Linked DNA regions of Schizosaccharomyces pombe. The gene in region 1 interacts genetically with each later gene. Each region holds a gene or a part of one and is shown in the gene's direction. Other genes may lie near its edges.

Evidence for each region.
Region 2: mutations in erf4 (region 1) and ste6 together harm fitness more than expected from each alone (negative genetic interaction), as found in Schizosaccharomyces pombe (one large-scale study listed by BioGRID).
Region 3: mutations in erf4 (region 1) and irc20 together harm fitness less than expected from each alone (positive genetic interaction), as found in Schizosaccharomyces pombe (one large-scale study listed by BioGRID).
Region 4: mutations in erf4 (region 1) and erg31 together harm fitness more than expected from each alone (negative genetic interaction), as found in Schizosaccharomyces pombe (one large-scale study listed by BioGRID).

The regions. Positions count from the first base shown.
Region 1 is NC_003424.3:2,827,945-2,831,223, reverse strand, and holds erf4 (palmitoyltransferase complex subunit Erf4), read left to right. Parts: upstream 1-2,039; coding exon 2,040-2,558; downstream 2,559-3,279. Other genes in the region: spd2 (ribonucleotide reductase (RNR) inhibitor family), read right to left, coding at 15-232, 418-425, 625-707; rit1 (initiator methionine tRNA 2'-O-ribosyl phosphate transferase), read left to right, coding at 2,537-2,595, 2,875-3,279. UniProt on the Schizosaccharomyces pombe protein: The erf2-erf4 complex is a palmitoyltransferase with a major role in driving sexual development. Palmitoylates ras1. Palmitoylates isp3. Palmitoylates rho3.
Region 2 is NC_003421.2:1,764,192-1,769,618, forward strand, and holds ste6 (RasGEF Ste6), read left to right. Parts: upstream 1-1,894; coding exon 1,895-4,630; 3' UTR 4,631-4,780; downstream 4,781-5,427. Other genes in the region: triacylglycerol lipase Ptl1, read right to left, coding at 1-847; ubiquitin-protein transferase inhibitor Glm2, read left to right, coding at 4,802-4,975, 5,033-5,427.
Region 3 is NC_003424.3:4,656,850-4,664,384, forward strand, and holds irc20 (ATP-dependent DNA helicase), read left to right. Parts: upstream 1-2,247; 5' UTR 2,248-2,406; coding exon 2,407-5,728; intron 5,729-5,747; exon of another isoform or gene 5,748-5,768; coding exon 5,769-6,034; intron 6,035-6,072; coding exon 6,073-6,272; intron 6,273-6,314; coding exon 6,315-6,355; intron 6,356-6,395; coding exon 6,396-6,694; 3' UTR 6,695-6,994; downstream 6,995-7,535. Other genes in the region: ornithine decarboxylase Spe1, read right to left, coding at 1-1,169.
Region 4 is NC_003424.3:931,881-935,864, reverse strand, and holds erg31 (C-5 sterol desaturase Erg31), read left to right. Parts: upstream 1-1,896; 5' UTR 1,897-1,910; coding exon 1,911-2,813; 3' UTR 2,814-3,440; downstream 3,441-3,984. Other genes in the region: SPOM_SPAC1687.17C (Der1 family protein), read left to right, coding at 1-5, 53-118, 197-616. UniProt on the Schizosaccharomyces pombe protein: C-5 sterol desaturase; part of the third module of ergosterol biosynthesis pathway that includes by the late steps of the pathway. Erg31 and erg32 catalyze the introduction of a C-5 double bond in the B ring to produce 5-dehydroepisterol.

The DNA.
Region 1 (3,279 bases):
GCTCATTTATTCATTTAATGAGACTTGAGAAAATCAGGCTTGGCAAAAGAATCGGCGATTTCTTGAGTGGAGGCGGTATCCCAGAAAATAGAATCAGCAGCCAATTCTTGCTTCAAATCATCGAGACGAAGATTAGGATCATGTTTTTGCTGAGGAAGCTCATTTCTATCAGTTTGATCCTTGTGGTAAGAAGGGAAAAGTTGTTGGTCAAATTTGTAACCAGTTTGAACAGCTGCTAAAGTTAGTAAAAACTGCTTTCATCTAAACAGGAAAAAAGGTAGAAAGGAAGTAGTTTCTATAAAAACAGTTTTCCATTAAAAGTATAAACATGAAGAAAGAGTGCTTTATAGAAATTTTTGATTAAGGTATTAATAAACAAATCCACTCATTTTTTTTTTTTAAATTTGATTCACGTACCTTTGCGACTAAATGATTGTTAGTTATTATACAAAAAGACTAAAAAAGAGTTAAATCATCAAATGCCGTGCTGCAGTACAATTGTATTATAAGTTTTCAAAAAAGTACTTAGACCTTTAAGCCCTGTCTCTTACAAAAAAAGATAGCAGAACAATCAGCATTTTGGATAATTCAACGTTTAAAAGTAAAAAATTGGATTAAACTTACACTCTGGCTCCAACATCAAAAAGAGTAGTTTGAACTAGCTGGGGAAGTTCGTCATGATCGGGAAGCTTGAACGTTTCAGACATCCTGGATAAGTAAAACAATTAAAAAGTATCAAACAGGGGGAAATTGACAAAGTATAGTTAAATATAGGTAAAGACGGAGTGGTGAATCACAAATGCTAGCAATTACCAATCGCAGAGCAATCTTTTAATTTTCAATGATTAGGTGGTAGATGGTAAGTAGTTTGGGGTTGCGATTGTAGATCATACGAATTTTCTGTGACTCGAGACAGGTAACACTTTTTCTATTGTTTACCTATGGAAAAAAAAAACAAAACAGTGTAATGCGATACATATTTCCTTTAAACAGTTATGTTATGGGTATCATGAGAAACTAAATTTTCATCTTCGTAAAGGAGGGTTCTTTTTTAATCGTCTTTCTTGGAATTTCTTCAAATCATGAATTCAACTTGCATAAATGGATAAGAAAAGTTGGTTGTAAGAATCTATAGATATATATTTAGCATGTTTCTTTTATTTAAACGAATATTCCTTTTAGAAGCGAGTAAGCTTCAAGTCGTATAGAACGCAGACGATATTAAGCCTAATAGGATCTTTAACGCTTAACTTAATAGCAAGCACAATGAGTTTTAGATAGCTGAGTACTTTAAAGCAACCTAACTTCCCTTGCAGCTAAAAAAGTTTATTGAACTTGATTTAAGACGCTCTTCTTGGACTGAGCAAGGACTTCAAAAAAGCCCGCATTCGTTGTCAAAGTTTTATCTCATCTAACGACTAAAGTAATATGAGTCAATGCTCATATAATATACAGTCGAATATTTTTTATATTTTATTACATTTATTTTCCCAAGTAGTTTTTCCAGTTCATTCTAAGTAACTTTTATCGTAGATGAAATATATCCTGTAGAGAGCTTTTATCCTCTTCCTGAACGAGCAATACGTTTTATTAATTTTCAATTCCTCAACAACTAAAACCACATCCTTTTATCAATCTTAATTTTCACTATAAATCCGTTCAAATTACCTAGTGACAAACTGTGTGGTTTTTGTTTCAAATCTGAAACTCACTCAATTAATCATAATGATTTTTTAAAATGAGTTATCATTGCCCATTTTACAGCTATTCACTCAATTAATCACTCAATTCTGACATTTAATACGTTTGTTTGTTTAGTTCCGGTTATATGATCAATCGATGAACTCATGAGTGTTTTATAATTTTTTAGTCATTTTTAACGTTGTTTAACTTATAACTTTCCTGTTTATTTATTTTTTTTCTTGTGCTCTACCGAATCCCAGTTTCATTATACATATTCTCTAATCCGTCTTCTAATATTGTACACTTGAACCTAGAGCTAGGGAATCCACCAAGCTTCATTTCAGTAGGTTTTTTCGATGCTTGTTCGCATTGAAAGGGATTATTCGGTTTCAGGAGATAAATATCCTCAATTTCCAACCGATTATCCTGTACCTCTTCGAGCTTATGTGAATCTTGAGGATTGGGATGTATTCATTCACACATTAAACGAGAAACTGAGAGAAGCCTTCTGTCCATGGTCAATTGGAAATCTATTAGATGGAATTCTATCTGTTTTAACGATTTATATCTCGGAGTTCGTATTTGGCAGTATTCATCGTAAAAGAATTGGGGCGATCGATTTGTACATCCTGGACTTTGCAACCCAACATAATTTATACGTTGCCAGCCTTCGCAATATGGGGTTTTTGAGTCTCGTTTTTCATACAAAAGAAACAAATTCGAAAAGTAGTACTCTCCATTCCAATCCGTACTGCCCGGAGCACCATTCTATACGAACACTTCCCTCTGCCGTGACTGCCACCACTTCAAATATCTCAACTTCTAGTTCTCACAGAAGTGATCTGCCAAACGAATGGACGAATTCGACCCTTTAGACGCTGTGCAACAAATTCATGTTCAAGCAAGACACCCGTAAGTCTCAATTTGCTATACAAATAAGCTGGCAGAATCAAAAGACTTAGAAAATGATTGCTACCTTTATAAACGCACAAGCAATTAATGCAAATTGTAAGAAAAAACGATGGATAGCTGCTATTAAATTTTCATGAAAAATTTTTAGCCTAATCGCCATTTGTTGGATTTCGTACTGATATATATTTTTGCTGATTTTTACTTGTTTTTCCTTTTTGCCTTGCTTTTCTTTTATTTGTATGTCATCGAATGGAAAATTTGGCTAACACTAATTTCAAGAAAGAATCGGTTGCTGTCAATTGCACACGATGCCAAGTTTGTCGACTCAGTTATAGCTTCGTACCCCACATTTAAACCTGTTGTAAATGAACGATGCGGTACGTGGTATGTCAACCGACGACATGCTCCGATTTCTGTTTATTTCAAAAGTACTGATGGTCATACCGGGCAATGGTCTTTTAGCTGTCGTCGTCTCAATTTGCATTTGCTAAATGAGATAACCACTTGTGATGGATTGATTATAGTAGATTCTACTCGTCGTGGAAAGAGAATGCCCGATGCTCTATCAAAGACGATTCCGATATGGATTGCTACGCTCAATAAATGTGTTTTCGAACGGCTTCGTCCCCATTCCTTTCCTAATGCTCGTTTGGCCTTTTTACCCCCGTTTTTACCTGATACAGA
Region 2 (5,427 bases), on another chromosome or scaffold:
AGGTAATAGTACCGAGTCTTTGACGGACAAAAGATGCTATCATGGAAATGTCAAGCATATTCCCATACTCCACAACTTTTGAAAGAGAATAGTCAGATGTTTGCTGACATATTTTCCACAGTTCGCTGGGGAAAGTATCAAACAAACCATTCAATTCTTCATCACGATAGACACTCAAAAGCGATGCAATCAACGCACCTGATGCGCATCCTGCAAGGATTTGAGGAAGCAAATTACGTTTCCAAAGGGTCTTAGCTACCCCAAAGTGATATAGACCAAACGCAGTGCCGCCGTTGAAATACAAACAGGTAGTACCGAAGGAAATTCGGGCAGCGGAAAAAAAATCGCACTTAACGTCGTAGGAAAGCCTTTTAGTGTGATATAAAAACTCTAAACAATTGTTGACCTCACGTACATACTCTTCAATCAAAATTTTTGTACCCGAGTAATTCTCGGTATACAGAGAGGAATTGCCAATGTTGCCAAAGTTACGAAGTAAGCTAGAGCGCAAGAACATTAACATGGGATAGACAGATTTCCTCTGGCGGTATCGTTTTAAGGAGACCGTGCATCGATCAATCAATAGATAGTCGTACTTGTCCGAGGCAGGAGTAAAGCGCCATTTCCAACGCCCCGACGCCTTGTCAATCGTCGTAGCCAAAACTTTCCAATCCTCCCAAGAACGACAATCCTTGTTCATAACTACCTTTCCCTTTCGAGGGCCGGAACCACGCTGCTGCGATATCGACGTAGCGGAAAATAACCATTCAAAAAATGAAACCACCAGTAGCCAAATGGACGAAATATTCGCATACATAATGCGCCAGAAATTAAATAGTGCAGTCATATTAGGCAAACAATGGTAAATTCACAAATTACAATACAATTTCCAATCTTTTCTAATTTTACGTAACAAGTCTCAACAGGACCTATGGATAGAGTTATCCTTTAATTTTTGTAAGTTCCAACTAAAATCCGCTTCAAACACTTCATGAACTACTACAATATCTTTTATAATTGGAGAATTCCACCTAACAGCTCAATTCATAGAACTAGCTCAATTGAAGCTGGTTAATGGCAATTGGCACGATTACATCCGTGGGAAAAAACATTTGTTGAACTTGTCGGTGAATTCGGTGAACCCTATGTCATGGGCAGTTTATAGGTGGGCATGATGTGTATAGCGTATTAAATTGCCGTATTATATTGGTACTATAACGAAATAATTGCAATACACTATAATAAAGTGGAGTCGACTATCATGACATACGGTATTTAAATATAGCGATACATAAAATTTTTTTGCGTATTTTTACTGCCTAAAATGAATCGGTCAAGGATAGTCGCAAAAGCTTTTAAATTCACTGGTCTATTCCTTTAACAATAGTCATCAAGTTTGGATCAATAGAAAAGAATTCAACTTTTTTTTTTAGAAAAACGCTACCAGAAGGACAATCTGTTTTATTTTTCAGGAAGAACATTTTTCTTTCTGTATTTATTGAATAGCGAAGGATAGGGTTGAATAGTGAAAACAACGAAGTATTACTGTATTGCGGAATAGTCGCATACCCACAGGTTTTAGGTGAGTCCATTGTGAAAGTGATTGACAACATAGTCTAGTGAAATACTGTATGTAATATTACAGTTGCGTAGTGACAAAACGCGACGCGCCAAATTCACAGGTAATTTCTATTGTAGTAGCCCATTGTTAGTAAACAAAGAAATTCCCAAAATGGCTAATAATGGGAAAACAAGCTTTTTTTTTAAATAAACGGGTGTTTTCTTTATTTTAAAAGCAGGAAAATACTGAAATAACTTAAGAAGGTATATTTCCTCTTTTCTTTCAAAAATAAATGAATCGTGGAATTGATAGCATTCATGGACCCTTACGAAAATGAGGTTTCAAACGACCGCAATAAGTGATTATGAGAACAGCTCTAATCCTTCATTTTTAAAATTTTCTGCAGGAGACACTATCATAGTTATAGAAGTGCTCGAGGACGGTTGGTGCGACGGAATTTGCTCAGAAAAACGAGGTTGGTTCCCCACGTCGTGCATTGATTCTTCAAAAATTCAAAATTTTTTTTCAAGTTTTCATTCATCGAATGAGAAAGACCCAAATGCTCAATGTTGTGCGCCGTTTCACGTAGAGGCTCATCTTCAAGATTCTGCATGGTTTGAGAAACACGGAGTGCAAGCGATAAATAGTATCCCTTCTTCAGAAGAGTTCTTAAGAAAAAATCTTCAAAATGACATTCACCACCTTGTAAAAGGGATTCTCACCACCGCTGCCGCTGTGTCACAATCTATAAAAAAGGAAGGCACTCAAGTGATCGTTTTTGGAATTGAAACTGTTCGTAGTATGGTTCTTTCATTTCCCTTGATAATCCTTTCTACATTAGATGAAAATTTTCTCTCAGAAGTCGCGCAAGTGTTCTCCTCATTAAATTTATTGCCAGAGTTGAGCCGAATGGGTTGCACTTATGGTGAACTTTGCATCAGATTTACTAAGCTTTTGAAGCAATTGGCTAATAAGTTTTTGTTTTTCTTCAGGCCCGATGTTTCCTTCCCTTCTTACTTTTTGGGCTCTTTGATAGCGCATGAAATACATTTCTTGCCATGGGATTTTAATATGCTCTGTTCCAATTCTGTACAATCAGCACATACAAATCTCCAACCTGATATTACTTCCTTTGTTGCAATTTTGTCACTTTCACACGAAGCTTACCATTGCACTGAGAATGAATTTTGGAATTTAGAAGCACAGAAGCTAACTGAAAATACAACCCAAAAAGTACTACAGCTAGTTGCGGAAGATGCACTAGAAGCTTGGAAACTAGATATTCTAGAGGACATCGATAGATGCATTCAATGTTGTAGGCGATTCTTGTCTGCAAATCAAAGAATAAATTATTCTTCCTCTGAAAATAACCCTTTTTCTTTCACTTCTCAAGATGTTGAAGCCTTGAAGGATGAACTGTCTTCTAACTTATGTGATTTATATTTGTGGAGTATCGACTTGGAGCAAATCTCACCTAGCGATTGTTTACTGGACAATTATTCCCTTTTTGTTGATTTACTAGTAACCTTGAAAGTATCCCTTCTTCGGATCAAGTCAATAATTGTTCAATTTTCAGAAAGAATTGTGTTTCTTTCTCTAGAATACAAATTCCTCACAAATATCCAACCAGAATTGAATGATGCGGAGAAGTCCCAACTTGATGGTTTTGACCTCAATAAAACCAACTGGTTCGACTCTAAAGGATTAGTTTGTTATTTAATGAAACAGACTTCACCAGAGCCATTATTGATCCGAAACCTTTTGTTTTCATTTTGGTCATGTAATGGTAAAATTGAACAAGATGGAAAAATAAAAACAGCCACTTTAGTGTTCATTATAAATTACCTTCTAAGGACAGATATAGATAGTACATTTTTTACTACTATCTTTTTAAACACATACGCTAGTATGATCAGTTCTTCAGATTTATTTTCCATACTTGGAGCACATTTTCGGTTCATCTGCTCATTAAATTTTGGAAAAATTTCTTTTATTTCTCACGAATTTTACCGAGTTAGTAAGAGGTTTTTGGATATACTTCTTATTTGGTTCGAATCGTATCTTGTTGAAGAGTTGGACAATTCCAAGTCAATATTCTTTTTGTTTAAAATTTATAAAGTTTTTGAAGTCTTTGTAGTTCCACATTTTGCATCTGCTGAAGAATTATTGCATTCTTTATCACACCTACTTCATCATCCCTCTACAAAAAGATCACATAAAATGCTAGAGGGAAAAGAGCTATCCCAAGAATTAGAGGATCTTTCTCTCCATAATTCCCCTGATCCAATTATATATAAGGATGAATTGGTTTTACTTCTACCTCCTCGTGAAATTGCAAAGCAGTTATGTATCTTAGAGTTTCAATCATTTTCACACATATCAAGGATTCAGTTCCTAACTAAAATCTGGGACAATCTTAACAGATTCTCACCCAAAGAAAAAACTTCGACCTTTTATTTGTCGAATCATCTGGTTAACTTTGTGACCGAAACCATCGTGCAAGAAGAAGAACCTCGCAGACGTACCAATGTGCTAGCATATTTTATTCAGGTCTGTGATTATTTGAGAGAGCTTAACAATTTTGCTAGTTTATTTTCCATCATTTCTGCGTTAAATTCCTCACCCATTCATCGGCTGCGTAAGACATGGGCAAATTTGAATAGTAAAACATTGGCTAGTTTTGAGCTTCTAAACAATTTGACAGAGGCAAGGAAAAATTTCAGTAATTATAGAGATTGTCTGGAGAACTGTGTCTTGCCATGTGTCCCTTTCTTAGGTGTTTACTTCACTGATCTGACTTTCCTTAAAACTGGAAATAAAGATAACTTTCAAAACATGATCAATTTCGATAAGCGCACCAAAGTCACTAGAATTTTGAATGAGATAAAAAAGTTTCAATCTGTTGGGTACATGTTTAATCCCATCAACGAAGTTCAAGAGCTTCTTAATGAAGTTATATCGAGAGAGCGAAACACGAATAACATCTATCAAAGAAGTTTAACTGTAGAACCACGTGAATCTGAAGATCAAGCCTTACAACGCTTGCTAATTGATTCTGGCATTTTTTGAAGCGTGAACGTTAACAGTGATTTAAGTTTTTATGAGCTTGCTTCGAATTCCTTTAATATTTTCAAATCTTTTGTAGAACAATATAATCTTAAAATCATTTAATTCTGATATAGTCTGCCTCGTAAATTATCTTTCGTCCGTTTACCTCACACCTTAATATTCATAAGAAGAATGGACTGGAAAGAAGCGATTCCAGGTGCCGCCAAGGTAGCCATTGAAACCAAAGATTATATTACCTACTCAACGCTACTCGAATTGATATTGGAAGAAGCGCGAATAAAGGATATTGATGAGCAGCGAGAGTTGATTAAGTGTCTACATGAAGAATTGAAGCAAGAAAAGAATGTAAGTAAAAATATTCATGTAATTAAATATGAATTCTCCTAATAATGTTGCAATTAGGACCATATAACACGCGAAATTTCCTGGGACATTATAGGAATGGTGCTTCCATATGTTGGGAAAGTACAAAATGAGGCCGATGAGTTTGTGGACTTCTTAGCCAAAAACGGAAATCCAAGAGAGGTGTTCCTTAAATGTTGTGAACTTTTGATAAATGGAGGCTTTGAAAGTCCCCAACAATTCATATCTCTGAACAGTGCCATTTTATCAGCCTTACACCGTATATCTACAAAGCGACCAGTTCTATTTGTAAATAATTTTTTAATTTCATTGTTTTCGGGGTTAGCAAATATTTTGCAAATTGATAGCGATGAACTGTATTGTGTTTGGAAAATCTCAATATCATCTATACAAGATGCAATGCATCGCTTTCCAGTGTCAGAGTGTTATTTGGC
Region 3 (7,535 bases), 1.8 Mb from region 1:
GGAAGATGGGCATCGTTAGCTATCACATCCAATGAATCGCAAGTAGGACCCCAAATAAAACAACGATGTTGGCCGGTGCCAACCAAATCATTGTACACAAACCGACTTCCACACTTTAGAACTCGAGCAACTGGATGTTGATGGTCAAACAAAATACAATTAAGGCTACCATAAACACCATCGTTTACGTAATACATCACCTTCTCTTCATCATCAAGCTTCCGTTTGGCAATTACATTGACAGCCAAAGTAAACGAAGAAGAGACGAAAAAGCGACCGGGCTCAGAAATAACACGGATGGAGGGATCAAAATAAGTATCCAAGGCAGAGCGAATAAGGTCTGCTACGCCATCAAAGCTGTCATTCATGAAACCACCACCAATGTCCAACAAGTCAAAATTAAATCCCCTTTCAAGTCCCTGATCAAATACCTGACGAGATCGTTGGATAGCATCCAAAAATGCTGAGGGATCATAGCTTCCTGACCCAACGTGAAAGCTAACACCGACGACATTTAACTCCAGGGACTTTGCGATGTCTAGCAGCTTACCAGTATCATCGAGAGAAGCACCAAACTTTAGACTGAGACGGCAAAGACTATTGGAATCATCGGTAGAAATACGAAGAAGAAGACGTGAGTTGGGATGATGTTGTTTCACCTTGTACAGCTCATCGGCATTATCAAAAGTCATCAGATTAATGCCTTTAGAAGCAGCATAGCGCACATAAGTTATGGCTTTACAAGGATTGGCGTATACAATTCGATCAGGGGATACACCTAAGCCAAGAATTTGTTCGAGTTCACCCTTAGAAGCACAGTCAAAACCAGTTCCAAATTTATTAAGCAATGCAAGTACCTTAGGATCAGGATTACATTTGACTGCATAAAATGGTTGAACACGAGGTAATTTAGCATGCCAACGAAGAAGTTGGCGATATACTCCGTTCAAATCAGCAACAAAAAATGCATCAGAGTCAGCGGGTTCACCACGGACAGCTGCACGCTCAATTTCCTCAATCGTGTTTTTAAACGCCTCACCAATCGCCTGGCGAGACGATCCAGGCGAAGACCATGTCACCACTGAGTCAATTGGTTTAACATGGCCAAGTAATTCCGTCGTACGCAACGACTCGCTGACGAGCATATTCTTTTCCATAATAGCAGGCATCGTGTAAGTAAGCTTTTTCTCTTCTAGAAATTCCGAGATCACTAAATTGAATCGTTGAATAATTTTTCTTCGGATACAAGCTAAACAAACGTTTTGTTTGTCAACTGCTCGCTTTACAATAATTTTACTATTTCAAATCAATCAATGATTTGAAATCTGCTGTTGATCAAAAAGTCCTTATTCGAGAGATTGTCTTAAATAGGAGACGTAGACGGAAATTTGCACTTTTATATACTTTTGGTGGTCGCGCAAAAAGAGCGTTTATCCTTCCAGATTCTTTTTCTTACCCACTTGTCACTGTTTTCTGCTAATTCCCAATCGTGTTGTTGGTTAAGGGTAAGTTCAATTTTGCAATGTGTGCGTACATAAAAAAATATTACACACTAGTAGAATTAACCTTAGTTTAGCGTTTGTCTTATTGACATAATAGTCTAACAAATCGAATTGCAATGTAATACGGTAAACGCAGTTTGGTTTAACAATATTTGCGACGACAAGAATCCTTCAAACTAGGATATTTCTTTAATATGTATACAATCTTTAGTTTATATTTTGTACTTTAGTTTATGACAATAACAATAATCTTTGTCCAGTGAAGGTGACATCACTTTTAAAAACTTTCCTACCAGTTTACGTTTTATTTAGAATTTATATTTTTTTGCTAATTGAATTAAACTTGGTAATCGATATATACTTAAAGGATGAGCACAGTGTTTTAGCAATAAGGAATAGTGTGTTTGTACAATACCGAGTAAAAAGGGCTCTTTCTTTTAGCCAGCAAATGAGATATTAAGTGTATCGGTAATTTTAATAGTATTTACAATTTACTTACTAATTAACGTAGATGTTATTTCTTAGGTAATTTTGAGTTCTAATTCGTGTTTGTACTGATTCAACCGTGAATAATAGAATTCCCTTACAAACGATTTATCGATATTTACCTTGTCGTACTTTTAAACCAAAAAAAAAAAGAGGGAAGAAAGGTGGGGAAAAAATACCAAAGTAATATTCGACTCTGCAAGCTTTAGCAAAAAAAAAGTGGCACATGTTTTAATCAAGACACTTTTTGCCCACAACTAAGAACAAAAGCACATAACACAATGCCTACCCTTTTGTGTTCTTGAGGGTTTATATATTTTCGTTTATTTCTTTGTACATTAAAGAATTCTATTCATTCTAAAATTTTTAAGTCTATTGGTTCAAAACACGACTGTATTTAATTAAGAGAGGGAACATTATGGACCGAACTAAGAGGCGAAAAATAGAGAAGGAGGCTTCCTTACTAAATGAAAGAAACAACCTTTTGGAAAGTGATTTCGCCAATTGCTACCGTGCATTCCAGCACCAACTCAAGCTAGACCAGCAGATATGGCGTGGACCAGAGGACGAGTTAAATCGGCTAAAGTCTACTATTTATCCTGTCGTTTTTTGGGTTGATGGATCTGAGAAACTACATGCATATAGTTTTACTCAAAGAAAAATTTCATTGGCCAAAAACTTGATTCCTTTGTTTTCTGTCGACTTGAATAAGGATACTTACTCTGCTTTAAAAGCACCTCTCAAAATTTGGAGTAAGCTTTGGGAGGATAATAGGCGGCTGAAGAAAATTATAAAATACACATCTTATGTTACTGTAAAAGGATCCGAGTTAATTTTGTCGTTTGGCATTTCCATACTCGACTCTTTTCTTGCCCCTCAAGATGCGATTCTTTCATCTGGATCATCTTCCTCATACACTGCTTTACTAGACTATACGTTCCTTCCGTCTGAAGATGAGGAATATTCTTGTTTAGATATTAACACTGCACTATTTTACGATTGTGCAAGAAAATTGGCAAAAAGCCTACGTTTCGCCAATGTATCACGCGATCCAAGGCTTTCTTCGGAACTTTTACCATTTCAAATGCGTGTTTTAGAATGGATGAAACGAAGAGAAGAAGAGAAATTCCTAACCTCAAATGATTTACCACCTCTATGGTACCATTGCAAAAGTCTTTTTGATGATCGAATGGTTTACGTTAATCATGTTTACGGCTATATGACATTTTCGAAAGAAAAAACATATTTGCTTGCGTCCGGTGATATACGTGGAGGCATTTTAGCCGATGAAATGGGCATGGGAAAAACTTTGGAAGTCTTAGGATTAGTTTTGCATCATCAGTTGCCAATTTCTTTGACTGATACTTGTACTTTCGATCAGGTCGTCGGAAAAAATGTAAAGTATTCCAAGGCCACCCTAATAATTACGCCTTCTACAATTCTCGATCAATGGTTATCTGAGATAGATTTGCATGTGCCATCATTGAAAGTATTCCATTACCAAGGAATCCGAAAATCCAATGGTTTGAAATCAGCTAAAATTTTTTTGGATTGTGATATAGTGGTAACATCTTATTCTGATTTACGGTTTGAGCTATTGTACACTGAATCTCATTCCAGGACCTTAAGACATGAAAAGCGACATGTTTCTCCAAAGTCTCCATTGATTGATGTATGTTGGTGGAGAATTTGTGTTGATGAAGCTCAGATGGTTGAAACTTCACAGAGTAATGTCGCACAAATGATTTATCGCATACCTCGTGTCAATTGTTGGACTGTAAGTGGAACTCCCGTACGTAGTGAAGTTGATGACCTTTTTGGCCTTTTATTTCTTCTTCGCTACTCCCCTATGTATTTATACAAAAAACAAGCTTGGATGCAAATTATAGAGAAGAAACGTGTTCGTGAATTTTGCGATCTGTTTGGCTCCCTTGTATGCAGACATTCTAAACAGGACGTTGAAGAAGAATTAAAATTACCTCCTCAACATCGAATCTGCATGACTACAAGACTTAGTGTAGTAGAAGAAACGAACTACCAGGATTTATTATCAGAGGCGGCCAAGTCTTTGCACTTTTTCAAAGACAGAAATTTGGATTTGTGTGACGAAGAATCTATGAGGCGTTGGTTGGTTCGTTTACGACAGGCATGTTGCCATCCGCAGGTTGGATTTGGTAACAAATCCGCATTTGGAGGTGGACCCATGAAAAGCATTAATGATGTATTAGTTTTTATGTTGGAACAAACAAACTCTACATTCTCCTCGTTAAACAGGAAGCTTTATTCCGATAAGATTATTGTTGGTCAAATATATGATCATATTAAAGACTATAATAAAGCATTGGCTATTTGGTCTGAAGTCAGAATACCTGTCGAGCTCGCTGTCAAAGAATTAGAAAATGTTATTTACAACTCTAAATATGAGGACCATGGTAAAAATTTACCGATTAATTATTTTGGTTTGGATCATTTCATTCATCTGCGTGTTTGGTATGTTCTATTGCATAAAATATACTTTTTTATAGCAAGCGCTTATTTTTCTTTAAAAAACGAAAAGTTTGAAAATGAATTTTATTTGCTCGCGCAGGATTTAAGAAGGAAGATTATGAGTGATGTGATTATCAAAACCAGCAAGCACCTTGAAGAGTTTTCAGAAAAATTTATTCCAAAGAAACTTGTCAAAATACCACGATTACAGAAATCTTACGCAAAAGGTCTCATAACCGGACATGGTATAATTGAAGACTATAATAGACTTTATAAAGAGTTGAATGATCAAAAGGAGGTGCTTATAAAATTTAGAGATCGGCTTATCCATTTGATGAAACTTCCACTTCTGGATCAAGAATCGGATCCGACCGGCGATGAATACGAAGAATCATTGAATGCGCAATCAGAGATATCCTATTGTATTGATGTTTACCGTCAAATGCTTTCAGATCGAGTAGCGGCAGTCAGCGGTACTATTAATACCTTTGTGTCTCATGAAACAGAACTTGAGAAATACAAACTTATAGAGAGTATAAAAAAATCGGAGAAATCGTTAGACAAGCAGGCTGAAGAACGTGATAAAAAATATTTGCTTTACTTTGAGGAAAGGGAAGAAGCAAGGCCAAAAGCAGATCAATACGGATCATTAATAAATATAGTTTCAAGACTGTTAGATGCATCAAATAGATCCACCTCAAGTTTTGAAACTTCTAAAAACATGGAAGAATATGAACGGATTGATGCAATGGCAAAGGAGCAATCTAGAATTTGCCAAAAATTGGAAAAAGAATTGAGTATAATTCAGTTGACTTATAATTCAAGGATTGAGTACTATAAACAGCTGCAGGAAATTTCTGACTCTTTGATGCCTCCTCCCGTTTCAAATATCAGTTTAAACAATTACGTTAAAGACGACGAAAAAAAACAAAAATTTTTGAACTCTGTTATAATTAAAGCTTCGGTGATTTTGGAAAAAGAAATTTCAGAAAAGCAGGACGAAGCAAGTCAAACAACAAACGTAGCAGAACTCGTCAATCAAAAAATATCCGAAATGAATATACCTGGACATATCCATCTGCTGCGAGAGCTAGAAGAGGAAAAAAGCAATACCCAACGTAAAATTGCTCACTTCGAATCAAGGAGAAGGTATTTAACAAACCTATATGAACATATTGTCCTTAAAGCTGAATCTCATCAGATTTGTATAATTTGTCGTGATATAATTAAGCAAGGTTTTATAACAACTTGTGGTAAGTATTTGTTGGATCGTTTATCTAGTTAACTTGTTAGGCCATTTGTACTGTAGTTTTTGTTTGGAAGCGTGGTTGAAGCATAGTTCGTCGTGTCCAATGTGCAAAACCAAATTGAACAAAAATAATGCTTACTATATTGGCGAAAGTAGGGATATATACTCTCGTCAAGAGTTTGTCACTGGTTTCAACAAACGAGACGAAAGGCTTGAAATTCTCGACGATGAAGCATACAGGCAAATTTCTAATATGGAGTTAAAGGAGTCATTTGGATCAAAAATTGACACAATATCTAAACATCTTTTGGTAAGCAACATTTGTATTTAGAGTGGATCTAACTTTAGTATTTGAAACATAACGAACTTTATCCTAAAGTTGTTGTATTCTCTCAATGGCTTGATGTTTTGGATGTTTTGCACAAGTCATTTGAAGCGAATGGTATCGTCTTCATACGTTTTGATGGAAAGTCAAAGAACACTTGCCTAAAAAGGTTTAAAGAAGAACGTAGCTTACAAGTACTTACTTTACATGCAAGATCGCAATCGTATGTTTAAACTGTTTAATTATTTGTTCTAATCTTCATTAGATCTGGTTTGACGTTAACAAATGCCACTCACGTTTTCATGTGTACGTCGATATCTGTATTAACAAGTTTTAACATTGACAGGTGAACCATTACTAAATAGTGGAATTGAAATGCAAGCAATTTCACGCGTTCATCGAATTGGGCAAACTCGTCCGACGTTTGTTTACTACTACATTGTGGAAGATACTGTTGAAGGTCATATTTTAAATCTTTCATTGACCAAACATGAGCAGCTTGACAAACTAGGTTTGGATGTACCGCTAGTTGGTAATATCAATCGCACTACTGAAGCTAGCAGCGGCGGAGAACAAGTTGATGCCGCAGAAATTAAAGATTGTCTTAAAATGGCTTTAAAGCGGCTCACCACAGAGGATTCATGAACATGAAAAAATTGATTTTAGAGAATGATGCTGATAGGTCAGGTTTAAACAGAATAAACGGCAATACTGTACTACTTATTGGTGACAGTGATGTATGGTTAATCCTGAAGTACCCCTTCGCTCAATACTGTTCAATTATTCATCTGTTATTAAAGCAAAGCACGAAGCATTAGTTGGTTTTCACTGGTTAGATTGTGCAAACACTTAGAGTCCGAATTACAGGAAACTTATACTTAATTTAACATTGTACTGTTGTATTAATTATAACCACTTTTTTAAATACAAACCTATGTAAATATTAGAAATTAATATAGCAAGAAAGGTCGCATTTCTCATTCTGGGTATTGGATTAAAACATATTGTCTTTGTTTTTCATTGATATCAGCGATGTTACTGGGCTATTAAATGCGATGTTAATTTATAACTATAACTATAGAATGAACATACGTTTGTGCTACGAATATACACTCGTTGTTATTAAGTTATCTTTTTTTTTTTAATAAAAATGAACAGGACTATTTGAACTATGAAACGTAAGTTCTTTTAGCATCATATTCAATTATAGTTAAACAAAATTGTTTATTACTATTAAAATAACACTGATTATCTTTGGAGACATACTTTATATCAAATTACAATAATTATTAATAAAACTCATTGCAATTTATTTTTCTCAACTGCGTTAGCTAATTCACTGCTACGCGATATAACTAATTAACGATTGCTGCTTCAGCTCGATAATTCCTTTTCGTCAAGGATACATTGCGATATAGTCTTAAGAGAGCAAACTGCATAAAGCCGGCTTTGGGATATATTTAACTGACTGTTGAATTATAAATTG
Region 4 (3,984 bases), 1.9 Mb from region 1:
CAGTGGTATGTTTACTCAAATTTTTCATAAATGGTATCGCTTACAAATATAGAATTTTGGTTATGTATCCGATCTTAAGATATTTTTTAATTGGAAACTGTTTTTAGCAAAAGGGGAGGTACGGTTTGTGATTGAAGTAATGTTTGACATAACATGTGATTTCCCTAATTCTAGCTTGTTAACAAGATTTATTTAGTACTGGAGGGCAATAACTACATTCCTTTATGTTGGGCCTTTTGGATTAGAGTTGATTTTATATTTGTCGTTTCTACTTCGTTTCATGAGTATGTTAGAAAGATCTAGTCCGCCGCCTCAAACACAGAGCTTCTTAAAAACGGTATTGATAGTATGGTTTTCTCTTTTAGTTACCTCCTATTTTTCCTACATGCCATTTGCAGCTTCTTACTTTTCATTTACCATGTTATACATATGGTCGTGGAAACATCCACTGTACAGAATCTCGATACTAGGTCTTTTCGACGTAAAAGCACCTTATGTTCCATGGGTAATGGTATTATTGCGCTGGTTACGAACTGGGATCTTTCCACTGCTTGATTTAATTAGTGCTTTGATTGGACATGTATACTTCTTCGTTACAGATTTTTCTACAGTATGACGCCTGAAGAGAATAAGAAAAGAAAAAAAAGTAAATAAATACCACACTTGTTTTCTGATTGACTGCTGCCTATTGATTCCTTTTCTATCTTTACAAGTCGATTTCTATTGAGCTTGTGAAAGACTAGGGATGGCGAATAGTCACTGTCTTTTGTTTATCTAAAATGTTAGATGAATGATTTCCCTAATCAAGGGCACGAATAATATTACGAAAATTTCAGGAATTCGCAGGCGTTTCCTGGTTTGCCAAGCCATTCGAGCTTTTCTTGTTATTTCTTAAAACTAAGTAATAAATGTTTTATCTCATTAGTTTTTTTTTTTTTTTTTTTTTTTTTTTTTTTAAAAAAAAAATTGGGCTACAAGCTACTATTTGTATGTTTACTTTATGCGCGAGCAACATTATGATTTCTGAATAATCGCTATTTCCATTTTAAAAGTGTTGTATTTAAGATATAATGAAAATGTAAAGTATGTAAATTATATACTATATTATATGCGAGTATTTCAACATGGGCATGTGGTGTAGATGGTTATCACGCTTCCTTAGCATGGAAGAGGTCCCAGATTCGAGTTCTGGCTTGTCCAAAATTTTTGTTTTTAAATAATTTTATTATTTTACTTTATTTATTTTTTTTTTTTTTTAAACGACTATGTTCTAACTGCGTATTTATCGTCTTAAAACATCAGCAACATATTGCATACTCTTGAGAAATACCATTATCGTTCCTAGACTTACAAATGCAAGTGGATTAAAAAGAACAAAATGGGGGTACCAAATTAGTCCAAGTCTAAGAATAGCAATCTAGCGTAACCTCTAAGCCTTTGAGAACAAACCCGAGATGGAGGAATGTTAACCTTCTTTTTTCAATTTTTTATCTTTCTTATTTAATTTTTCATCTCATTTACTTATAATAGTTTTAAGATTAGATCTTGTATCGTAAAGTTGATTATTTTCGACTAATATATACCCACTTGCTCGATATCAAACATTCATGTCCAACCTCGTTGTACTTGTTGAATAGCGAGCCCCCGTAGTACTATTCCCCCACATAGTAAGTGTAAGAGATTCTTCCCGCCACAGTGATGTCCTTTCCGATCTGCCCTATCTACCTCTCACTAACCGAAGTGTATAAGCCACCTCTTTGTTTTTTGATAAAAACTTTAACGAAAAAGATAACTCGGTTTCCTATTGACTAATTAATAGCAGCCAACTAGATATCGCAATCAAAATCAGACCATTTTTTGGTACTTCTTATACGCTACCACCGGTCAATAGATTTTAAGCAAACACCTCAATGGACTACCTACTCAACTATGCTGACCAATATGCGCTGGATTCGATATACAATGCTGTATATCCATTAGCTCGCGACAATATCGTTAGACAGTCGATCAGTTTGTTTTTTTTAACTTGGTTTGGCGGTATGTTCTTGTATTTAACATTTGCGTCGCTTTCCTACCAATTTGTGTTTGATAAAAGTCTGATGGATCACCCAAAGTTCTTAAAAAACCAGGTGTTCATGGAAGTTCTAACGGCTTTACAAAACTTACCTGGTATGGCGTTATTGACGGTTCCGTGGTTTTTGGCTGAGTTGCATGGGTACAGCTACTTATACGACAACATCAGTGATTACGGTTTAAAATACTTCTTATGTTCCTTACCTCTTTTTGTCATGTTCTCAGATTTTGGCATTTACTGGGCTCATCGTTTCCTTCATCACCGTTATGTATACCCTCGTCTTCACAAACTCCATCATAAGTGGATTATCTGCACTCCATATGCATCCCATGCTTTCAAATCCGCTGATGGCTTCTTACAATCTCTTCCTTACCATCTTTTCCCCTTTTTCTTTCCCCTTCACAAGTTGACCTACTTGGCTCTTTTCACCTTTGTCAACTTCTGGTCCATCATGATTCACGATGGTAAATACATCTCCAACAACCCCATCATCAATGGTGCTGCTCACCATAATGGCCATCACATTTATTTCAACTACAATTACGGCCAATTCACCACCCTCTTTGATCGCCTCGGCAACTCTTTCCGGGCCCCCGATGAGGCATGGTTTGACAAAGATCTTCGCCAAAACGAGGATGTTCTTCGTGTCGAATTGATGGAGTACGAGGCTATTCGTAATGAAGTTGAAGGTGATGATGATAGAGAATACATCGCTAACTCTGCTAAGAAGAACCATTAAACAACATATCTAGACTCAGAAGAGTTTGTCTCTGAAAAGATTTTACTTTTTTTTTTCGTTTTCATCATTCCCATTTCATTTTTCCCCGTTGGTTTTACTCTTTTGGTCACGTATTTCTATTTCTATGGTTGGTATTACATGCATTATTTACCCGCTCTACCTTCAGTTGCTATAAAGGAACAATGTGAGCGATTTTATATATCCTTTGCAAACTTTTTGCTAATTTACATTTCGAGTCTCTTTAGCATTCCCAAGTTTGTTTTTTTTCGGTTTATTCTTTTAGAACGATAAATCCAGAAAATTTGGAAGTCTCGCATCTAGTCATTCACTCCTTTCTTTTCAAATGACTTGTTTTTTTTGCTTTGCAATTTCTTACCACCTCCCTTTTGAAACGTTGTTTGTTCAGTTGGGTTGATTGGTACTATCATCTCACAAATAATTTACTTCAAATACACTCGTTTTTGCTGTTCACGTCGTTGTAGTTGTTTGCTAGTTTCGTATACGAAATGAAAATTTTGCTCTTATCTTTACTTTTCTATTTTGAAATAAAATGAATGTCAAGCTTACACATGTCATCGACACTAATTTTGATTTGCAATAACTAGTAACTATTCGTTTGTAAACCACTGCTAATTAATCAAAAATTACCAGACTCCTTTCCATTTATTGACTTAGTATGTAATTAGATTTACATGTTTTTCTATTTCTATTTACATATTGATATCTAACGTTGCCAGATGATTTCCTAGAATTTTGTACCCTTTTGATGTTTGCTATATCTTAGGTAGTATTGAATCATAATATTACTTCGCCTCACCAGCTTCTTTCATGTAGTCTACGAAGCAAAAACTTAGTAATGACTCTACCAAAAGAATTTTTAATGAGGACAAAAAAATGAATTAAACAATAATAAAAACAAAACATTCTTTTGAAACCTAACCATAAAATATTAATTGAATCAATCACAAACATTTTACTAGTATAAGAATTATGATATATATGTATATATGAGATTCTGCAGTATACTTTCCAGAATGAAAGAATTACCGATTACATTTCTCATCCAATTAAAGTTTTAAAGTCGCTGAAAAACTTTCAGCAAACTAAGATGGTCTACTTATGACTCCTAAAATAACAATTAAGAAAATAATCGTGATCGAAAAAATTTAGT